Oryzias latipes: one gene and its partner. The protein of the gene in region 1 purifies or fractionates together with the protein of each later gene. This does not show direct contact. Links are inferred from orthologs where the notes say so. Each region holds a gene or a part of one and is shown on either strand. Other genes may lie near its edges. The genes, in order: srrt and zc3h18.

Evidence for each region.
Region 2: the proteins of srrt (region 1) and zc3h18 purify together in Homo sapiens (co-immunoprecipitation; 4 studies listed by BioGRID and IntAct, counting the BioPlex papers as one, with this or other methods). This does not show direct contact. The link is inferred for Oryzias latipes from reciprocal best matches to the Homo sapiens genes SRRT and ZC3H18.

The regions. Positions count from the first base shown.
Region 1 is NC_019872.2:15,817,153-15,821,432, reverse strand, and holds the start of srrt (serrate RNA effector molecule homolog), read left to right. Parts: upstream 1-1,182; 5' UTR 1,183-1,266; exon of another isoform or gene 1,267-1,477; intron 1,478-2,197; coding exon 2,198-2,316; intron 2,317-2,485; coding exon 2,486-2,614; intron 2,615-2,700; coding exon 2,701-2,844; intron 2,845-3,990; coding exon 3,991-4,179; intron 4,180-4,280. UniProt on the Homo sapiens protein: Acts as a mediator between the cap-binding complex (CBC) and the primary microRNAs (miRNAs) processing machinery during cell proliferation.
Region 2 is NC_019864.2:26,635,011-26,638,833, forward strand, and holds part of zc3h18 (zinc finger CCCH domain-containing protein 18), read left to right. Parts: intron 1-2,494; coding exon 2,495-2,611; intron 2,612-2,779; coding exon 2,780-2,982; intron 2,983-3,073; coding exon 3,074-3,288; intron 3,289-3,421; coding exon 3,422-3,518; intron 3,519-3,823.

The DNA of each region.
Region 1 (4,280 bases):
AATCAGAGTTTTTCCTGGAGGATGAAGCACAGGCTACTCACGTGTGGCCCCGAGACATCCTGGATTACATGAGGCAGCAGTTAAAGTTCAGAGGAAGAACGAAGAAGAGCACAAAGAACGGCTAGATTCAGCATTTTACTGTTAAATTTAATAAATTGTTACTTGATTGCCAAACGCTTCTGCTGTGAATTTTTACATTATTTTACATTTCACTTAAATCCCTTAACTGGTATGTCATAAAAACTTTGGGAACACGAAGTCTGTTTACCGAAAACAAAACATCCAATAGTGTTACTGAGGACTGGTCTAAAACAATTTTGTCAAAGAAAAACTTGAAATAATTTATTTTGTGAAATGTTGTGTCTAGTACTTTATCAAATTAAATAGTTCTATGGAGTAAACCTTTTACGTAGTTACATTTCCTTCTCCAGTTTTACTGTAGTATAACATTAAAAAGTAATAGATAGATAGATAGATAGATAGATAGATAGATAGATAGATAGATAGATAGATAGATAGATAGATAGATAGATAGATAGATAGATAGATAGATAGATAGATAGATAGATAGATAGATAGATAGATAGATAGATAGATAGATAGATAGATAGATAGATAGATAGATAGATAGATAGATAGATAGATAGATAGATAGATAGATAGATAGATAGATAGATGTAAGGTAGATATGTTGTAAGGCCATTGCTTGTTACTGTTACTCAACTTGCTATTATAATTTTGGGGGGAGAAAAAAAAACATATGTTCTTAGTAAGTGAATTTGCTCATACTTGGTGTACACAGAAACAATATTATATGGGCATAGCAAAACACAAATAGAGATTATTACTTTAACCAGACTAAAGTTCTTTTCCAATCCAATCGTTCATCAATCATGGCTGAAAAATTCATTTGCTAATAGTAAATGAGGTTTCAAGGCTTTTGGAGTCTTTCTTTACAATTTTATATTATGTGGACACGCAAACAGCGATCCAACAGATGCTAATATATGCGTGTCAGTAAAGTTATGCTATGTCTGAAGATGTTTAGAAAGAAGAATAAAAAAGGTTTGAATAATTACTGTCCCTTGTTTATTAAATTTAAATGGCTGGCTGGCTGGCTGGATGGATGGATTCATGAATTTTAACATTTTTTGGTTACACTCCACACCATACGGTGGCGCTATTGCCTTCTGGCCTATTTTCTTTCTCGAACACTGCTGTCCAACACCAAGAAAAAGAGGGAGACAACGCTGAATATCATTCGAGGTATTTTCGCTCATGCGTTGTAATTTTTTGTTGTTGAACTAAAGTATTTTTGATCGAATAATTTTAAGCAAATTGTTTTCATCTGCGAGGCTGGTTTGTGTGCTTTGAATTTGAAGTAACGTAAACATTTAGCTGACATTGCTAACGTCCTGGCTAATCTTAGCCAGGGGCTACGATAGCGTTAGCCGTTACATTGTTGTACTCTTCAAATGTGAGTATGATAAAGATTCGTTTTAGTCTCTAACAGCAGTACATTTTTTGGTTAACCAACCAATACTCACTACTGCAAATAATTAGCTTAGGTTTTACGCTTTCATCCTGGGTCAGATATTGATTCAGCTAGCGCAGCATGTCTTGCCTAATGATGATCCCCGAATGTTCATTGTTTTTCCCACTCCACTTGAACGCACCGTTCCTCTCACTATGGAGCTCTTCTTAGTACACAACATAAATGTTTTCTTGAGCAGAAATGACCTGTTTTAACTTGTATTGATAGGTACTTAATATTCATATTAAAAAGAAATTACTAAATGAAACGTGATAGCTTTTTTTCTCTTTTTTTTTTTAGCTAACCGGTGTAACGGTTCATTTTTACAATGAATTGATTTATCATATTTTGTGGTTGTTAACATGGTTCATACTCGACATTGGTTCATTTTGAACAATCTGATAGATACACTGACTGACTTAATCGATTAGGACATTTAGCTAAATATTCAACCAGTGCGAATCAGAGAGACGTACCTGGGTACTGAACAGTGCAGGTAAAGTTTTCCAGATTCCTTTAATTTCCTGCAAGATAATCAAATGTAAATAAAATGAATGTACACACAAACATTTGAAAGTGGAATAATTGTTATACCCTTAGCTGTAACACTAATTTATTCGATGAATGGCTGTGGATCTAAATGCTATTGTCTGTATTTTGGAGATGGGAGACAGCGATGACGAATACGATCGCAGAAGGAGGGATAAATTCAGACGTGAGAGAAGTGACTATGACCGCTCCAGAGAAAGAGAAGACCGTCGCAGAGATGACTGGAACGAGAGGTGAACATTTCACACATTTATTTTATAGTGGAGTTGTATAACCTTTATGAAGCCATCTCACCTGGTAATAAACAATAAAAAATATGCCATTCTGTTCTCAATTGTTACTTTTATAACCCTTTGATTTGTGATCGTTTTAAAGCATTTTTTTCTTTGATGAATATTCCAGAGAATGGGACAGGGGTAGGGAACGCCGTAGCCGTGGTGAATACCGGGATTATGACAGAGGCCGGAGAGAGAGATTTACTCCTCCTCGCCATGATTTAAGTCCCCATCAGAAACGCATGAGAAGAGACTGGTAAGGTCACATGTAAAGATGAGGCAATGTCAATTCACCTTTTGTCTTTTTTATTTTTTGTAAAGTATACCTTCTTGTTGTTGTAGGGACGATCACGGCGGAGATCCATACCGTGGAGGTTATGATTTAGGTTATGGTGGAGGAGGGCCCAGTTATGGCCCACCTCAGCCCTGGGGTCATCCTGACCTACACATCATGCAACCGCATCAGGGTATCCCAATTCAGGCAAGGTGAGAAGTAGAACCTAGCTTATTTTTTTTTAAAAACTTTGTTTTTGTTACTCTTTTTGATATACAGTGATCCCTTGCTATATCACGGTTTACTTTTCACGGTTTCGCTACTTCACGGATTTGGATTGTGCATTGTGTTCTGCATTCTGATTGGCTAAAAAGTCACACAGCGAGTAGCTCAAGAATGGGACCCTTTGATGAGCCGTTCATTACAGTTCTCCAACATAATCGATGGGGGCATGTCGGTGTATAAGAATCTTTAGCAAAGAAGAAAAAAGAGCGACAACAACTGCCTATCACTATGTTCCTCTCCCGAACAAACACACCTGCAGCTGCACCGCGGGCTTCAGAAGGAAAAAACGCTGCACAGGATGCAGCGGCTCAGTATGAAGAGCAGTGAAAAAGAAGACCGGAGTCACTATATGTCCCACTGTACTTTTTTATTTTTTTCATAATCATTTTAAATTTTCTTCCGTTTAATCCACTCGGGTCGCGGTGGGCGGGGCTAATCTCCGCAATTTAAAGCCTTCTGTTCTTATCGATGATTGAAATTATTATTTGACAGCACACTACAGAAGTTATTTGTTGAAAAAACGTTTCTAAAGTACTTTTATTTGTTAAAAAAACAATTGATTTAGCCTGTTAAATGGTTTGTTCTTTCTTTTCAATGTATAATAGTGTATTTCATTGTATAATAATTGTAAAAAAAATAAAGGTTTCTACTTCACGGGTTTTGCTTATCACGGGTTCTATTTGGAACGTAACCCCCGCGATAATCAAGGGATCACTGTATACCAATTTGCTTTAAAAAAAAAAAAAGGTAAAATAAATTTTGATTCTTTGTTTCCGTACGGGTGGTCATACATTTGTAAGCTACTTTTTCCTATTTACCTTTTAGCTTTGCACCTTTCTTGCTTGTATTTTCTTTTTTCTGTTCTGTCTTTGATAATTAATTAGTTGAAAATAAATAAGGTAGGCACTATAGTGTCTCTGTCCACATAATTCAGGTAAAGCAGTGTTTGCTGGAATTGTTTAGGATGAACCAAAACATGACTTTGTTTTTGACCCCAATTACAAGAAGTTCACTTCCTAGTTCTTAAATTGTCTTAATCACAGCTAAAGTTCCTCTTATCCCATTTCTCTCAGGCTTGGTAGCATCCATGAGATGGACTTGGGTCCTCCCCCTCCAATAATGAAGAGCTTTAAGGAGTTTCTGCTGTCCCTGGATGACTCTGTAGATGAAACGGAGGCAGTCAAGCGGTACAATGAGTACAAAGTTGACTTTCGCCGACAGCAGATGCAGGACTTCTTTCTGGCTCATAAAGATGAAGAGTGGTACGGTCTTTGTTGCTTTTTCCACACAGTGATGTATTGATTCTTCTGTGTATCAGCCGTACACGAGGATTGGATCAGACTGAATAGGCCAAACACCAGAT
Region 2 (3,823 bases), on another chromosome or scaffold:
CGATGTGTTGCTCCACCAAAACAGAATGTGCAATGATGGAAAATAAAAATAAAATAATCATTATCTGATCTTTGATCATGAAGGAAGTACAACTAGTCAACAACACAACGTGTTACACTGTACTGCTGTACCTTATGACACAGTATTTAGATTGGACTTGTTTTTTTTTTGTGTGCATACTATTGTTTTGTTTTGTTTTTTAAATAAAGTTTGATTTGAACAAATACTAAAAATCATCTTTAGAAAAAGACATTAGCAGTTATCCTGGATAAGTAGCTGTGGCTACACAGTTGACTGTATAAGAAAACTGGTCTGAGTTTAGTGTGAAATCACCCATAGAAGATGACTTCCTTCCAGTTCCAACAAAATGAGTCAAACAAGTGTGCGCCTTGTCTGAATAGTTTTTTATGTATTTATTTTTCTTTACTATGTGTTGGAAAATTATTTGGAATGTTAAAGAAAAAGTACTTTTTTAAGCTGTTTGGCAACAAAAGATTTTGAAAAGTTCTAAAATGTCTTGGAATCTTTCAGAGACGTATGTCTCCTATGGGGTGACTCTTGAACGGCTTCAATAAACCAAATCAAGTGATTCAAAATGCTTTAAACCATGTAAAATTAAGTTTAAAGTGTATTATAATGTTAATTTCTCACAAAAAATAACCCCAAAGCTGTATTTTGATTCATTCATGCACTTCTGAGTATTCCTCTGAAAAACCTACTCTCTGAGTTCTCAAATTCATACTTATGAAAGTAAGGAAGAGCCCCTTTCAATGCACATTATGCACATCTATCTTTACAAAAGTTCAGAAAATGAAACACAGACACAGGCCGGCTCTATGTTGATGTTGATGTTATGAAACGGGCGGCACCCACACAGAGCCAATCAGAGATTCAGTCAACTTACTTCAGGGTATGAAAATGAGCTGGGAAAATATATTTCCCAGCTCATTTTCATTAAAATAAATCATTCTCTAGTGTGCCAAAGATAATGTATTATCATTTATGTGTATAGTTTACTCTGAAAGGCTTAAGAAAAGCATGATATAGGCCCTATAAACAACAAGGCTCAGTTGGGAGGAAGAAGAGTTGGTCACAGAGTTTGTTGGTCTGTATATAAATTCTTTGTTGAAGTGAGAGAAAAAATTGGTACGTTTTTGTGATTGAACGAATTCAAACTAAAATAATACTTTTTTATGTTTGTTTGTTTTTTAAACTTAATGCAGTCTGGCAGTGTTATTCAAATGGTGACCCGCTTGCCACTTACAGGTCGCCGGTTTGTTGCAAAGCCACACACTCTCACACCTTGGGACAATTTAGAGATACCGATTAACCTGTGAAGCATGTTTTTGGAATATAGGAGGAAGTCGGAGTGTCATGCAAACTCCATAAAGAAAGGTCCTAGACTCTATTTGAACCAGGACGTTCTTGCTATATAATTATCTTTTACAGAATGATTAAAAAGATTTAAAGAGAAAAACACTCTGAGTGTGTGCAGACATGCTTTTTAAGCAACAGTCAGTTTGAAGCCCTTCAGAATAAAAGTGGCACTCAAACATACCAATTAACTTAGAAGCACAGTGTTTGTTACGACACGTCTTTTTTTTTTTATTAAACTGCAAATGGTGTGACCGATTTCACAGAGTGAAAATCTAATAAATAAGAGCTTTTCATATGAATCCGCTGTGTTCTGATGATAAACATATGATTGGTTTATCATTAAAAAAAATTTAAAAAACACTTTTTTTCGCTAAAATCGTACAAACTCAATTCATTGTGGTCCATGTTCCCCAATCTAGTGAACATTGATGCACGCTTGTTTTTCGCAGAGACTTCTGGGACATTTTTAGTGAACTGGATTCTGGAATGGGGATACCCATTCAGACAGCTTTACAAAATAGTGAACACACTATAAAGTGCACTACGAAGTGAGTAGTGGAGGAATTCAGGCACAACCAACCTATACAGGTTGTGCCTGATTGTGATGTCATCCATAAAAAATGGTTTACTTCCGACTCCAATCGAATAAAGTCACCATTTTTGTGTGTTATGAACGTTGTCGTGTTGAAGCCAGACGTCGTCAGTAAGCTGTGATTGATTCAGGCTGGTCTGAGTCGACGTTTCTATGGCAACTACTTTCCCCCATCGGGAGTGAGCTTGTTGGAAGTCCACACCCATATTACTTGAAAGCGGGCTCTGGAGAACCTGTCAAAGGTTTTGAACATTTGACGTGAGACCGCCTACTTTTAACGAGGCATCTGACTGGTCAGTTTAGGAATTGAATAACTTTCACAACAGAAAGGAAAATATTAGGGGGGGGGGATTAAGATTTTCAAGACTGTTAAAAAAGAATTGCCATTCTGACCAAAAAAAATGACTGAGTAACAGATGGTTATTTCTCCTAGACGGATTTCTTGGAGCTTCCTGTTTGGACCGTGAGGGGGAGGGGTCACTCAGTCCTGACTGAAGTTCTCGGTTTTTTCCCCATATATTCCAGGAGAACTGTGAGTGGGAGTGTGAGTGGAAGTGGCAGCAGTTACACCGGTTCCAGCTCCAGATCCAGGTCATCCTCCAACTCCCTGTCTCGCTCCCGCTCTGGATCCAGAAAGTCCAGGTACCCGCCTGCACTCTGCTGCAGCTGACCGAAGGCTTTCTGGAGGCTGAGAATTCTTACACCTATAAGAAAAGTTTGCATTTAATCTGTAGACTGAAGATGTGTTGCTGTGGTGTGTTGGGCCTGTCTGTTGCATGCAAACATCACGGCCTGCTGATCTCTCCGCAGATCGCTCAGTGTCAGCAGCGTTTCGTCCGTATCGTCTGCATCGTCCAGCAGCTCCATGCGTAGCGCCGACTCTGACGACATGTACGCAGACCTTGCAAGCCCGGTGTCCTCCGCCAGCTCCCACTCGCCCACACCCAACCAGCCCCGCAAGGAGCGCAGGCCTCCACGAGACCGCTCGCCTCCGGGCCGGGACAAGAACAGGGGTGAGTGTCCCACCAAACACGTGGCCGGCTCACAGTCTTAAAGAAACTCTAGCTTGTTGAGGTTTAGTCTGAAAGTTTTTGTTAATTGCAGAAAGACCGTCAAAGAAAGATGAGCTTTTTAGGGAAGATCGCAGGAAAATGGACCAGTCTGGAGCTCCACCCAGAGGGGCTGGTGCCCCACCTCGATCTGGACCTGGCAATAGGGGAGGCCCCCCTGTGCATCCTCTACCTGTGGCTGGTGGCCCCCCTGGAAGCTATGGAGGTTCAGGTTCCCACAAAGACATCAAACTGACCCTGCTTAACAAGGTTAATGGTGTTTCTATCAGAAGTTTTGCTGTGAACTTTACCAAGGAATAACAGTATGTTTGCTGTTTTTCTGTCAGTTAAATTAACTGTTTGTTCTGAAAAAGTTGGTTGAATTATTCGTCTTTTGGGGCAGCAGGGAGACAGAGGCAACAGAAAGAGGTACCTGCCTTCAGACAAGGACCGGTCCGGTTCCCCTCTCAGCAAGAGGATGGCCATGTCTCCAGACCGAGGTAAGAAGCCACAATCGCAACAGGACCAATGATCATGGTCAGGTTCCACGCTGCGGACGCACAACCGGCTATTAGCTGCTTTCATCTTCTAGTGTTTTCATTCCTTTATCTCAGGGGTTTGCAACCTTCAGCACTTACAGAGCCGTTTGGGTCGATTTCCCTCTGACAACAACCCAGTAGGAAAAGTCATAAAGTTGTACTTCTACCCTTTAGAAAAATGAAAATAACAACTTGTATTTGTGTTACTGTTACACTTCATTTAAAATATGTATTTGTTTTGTGATCTCTCAATCACACAGAGGAAA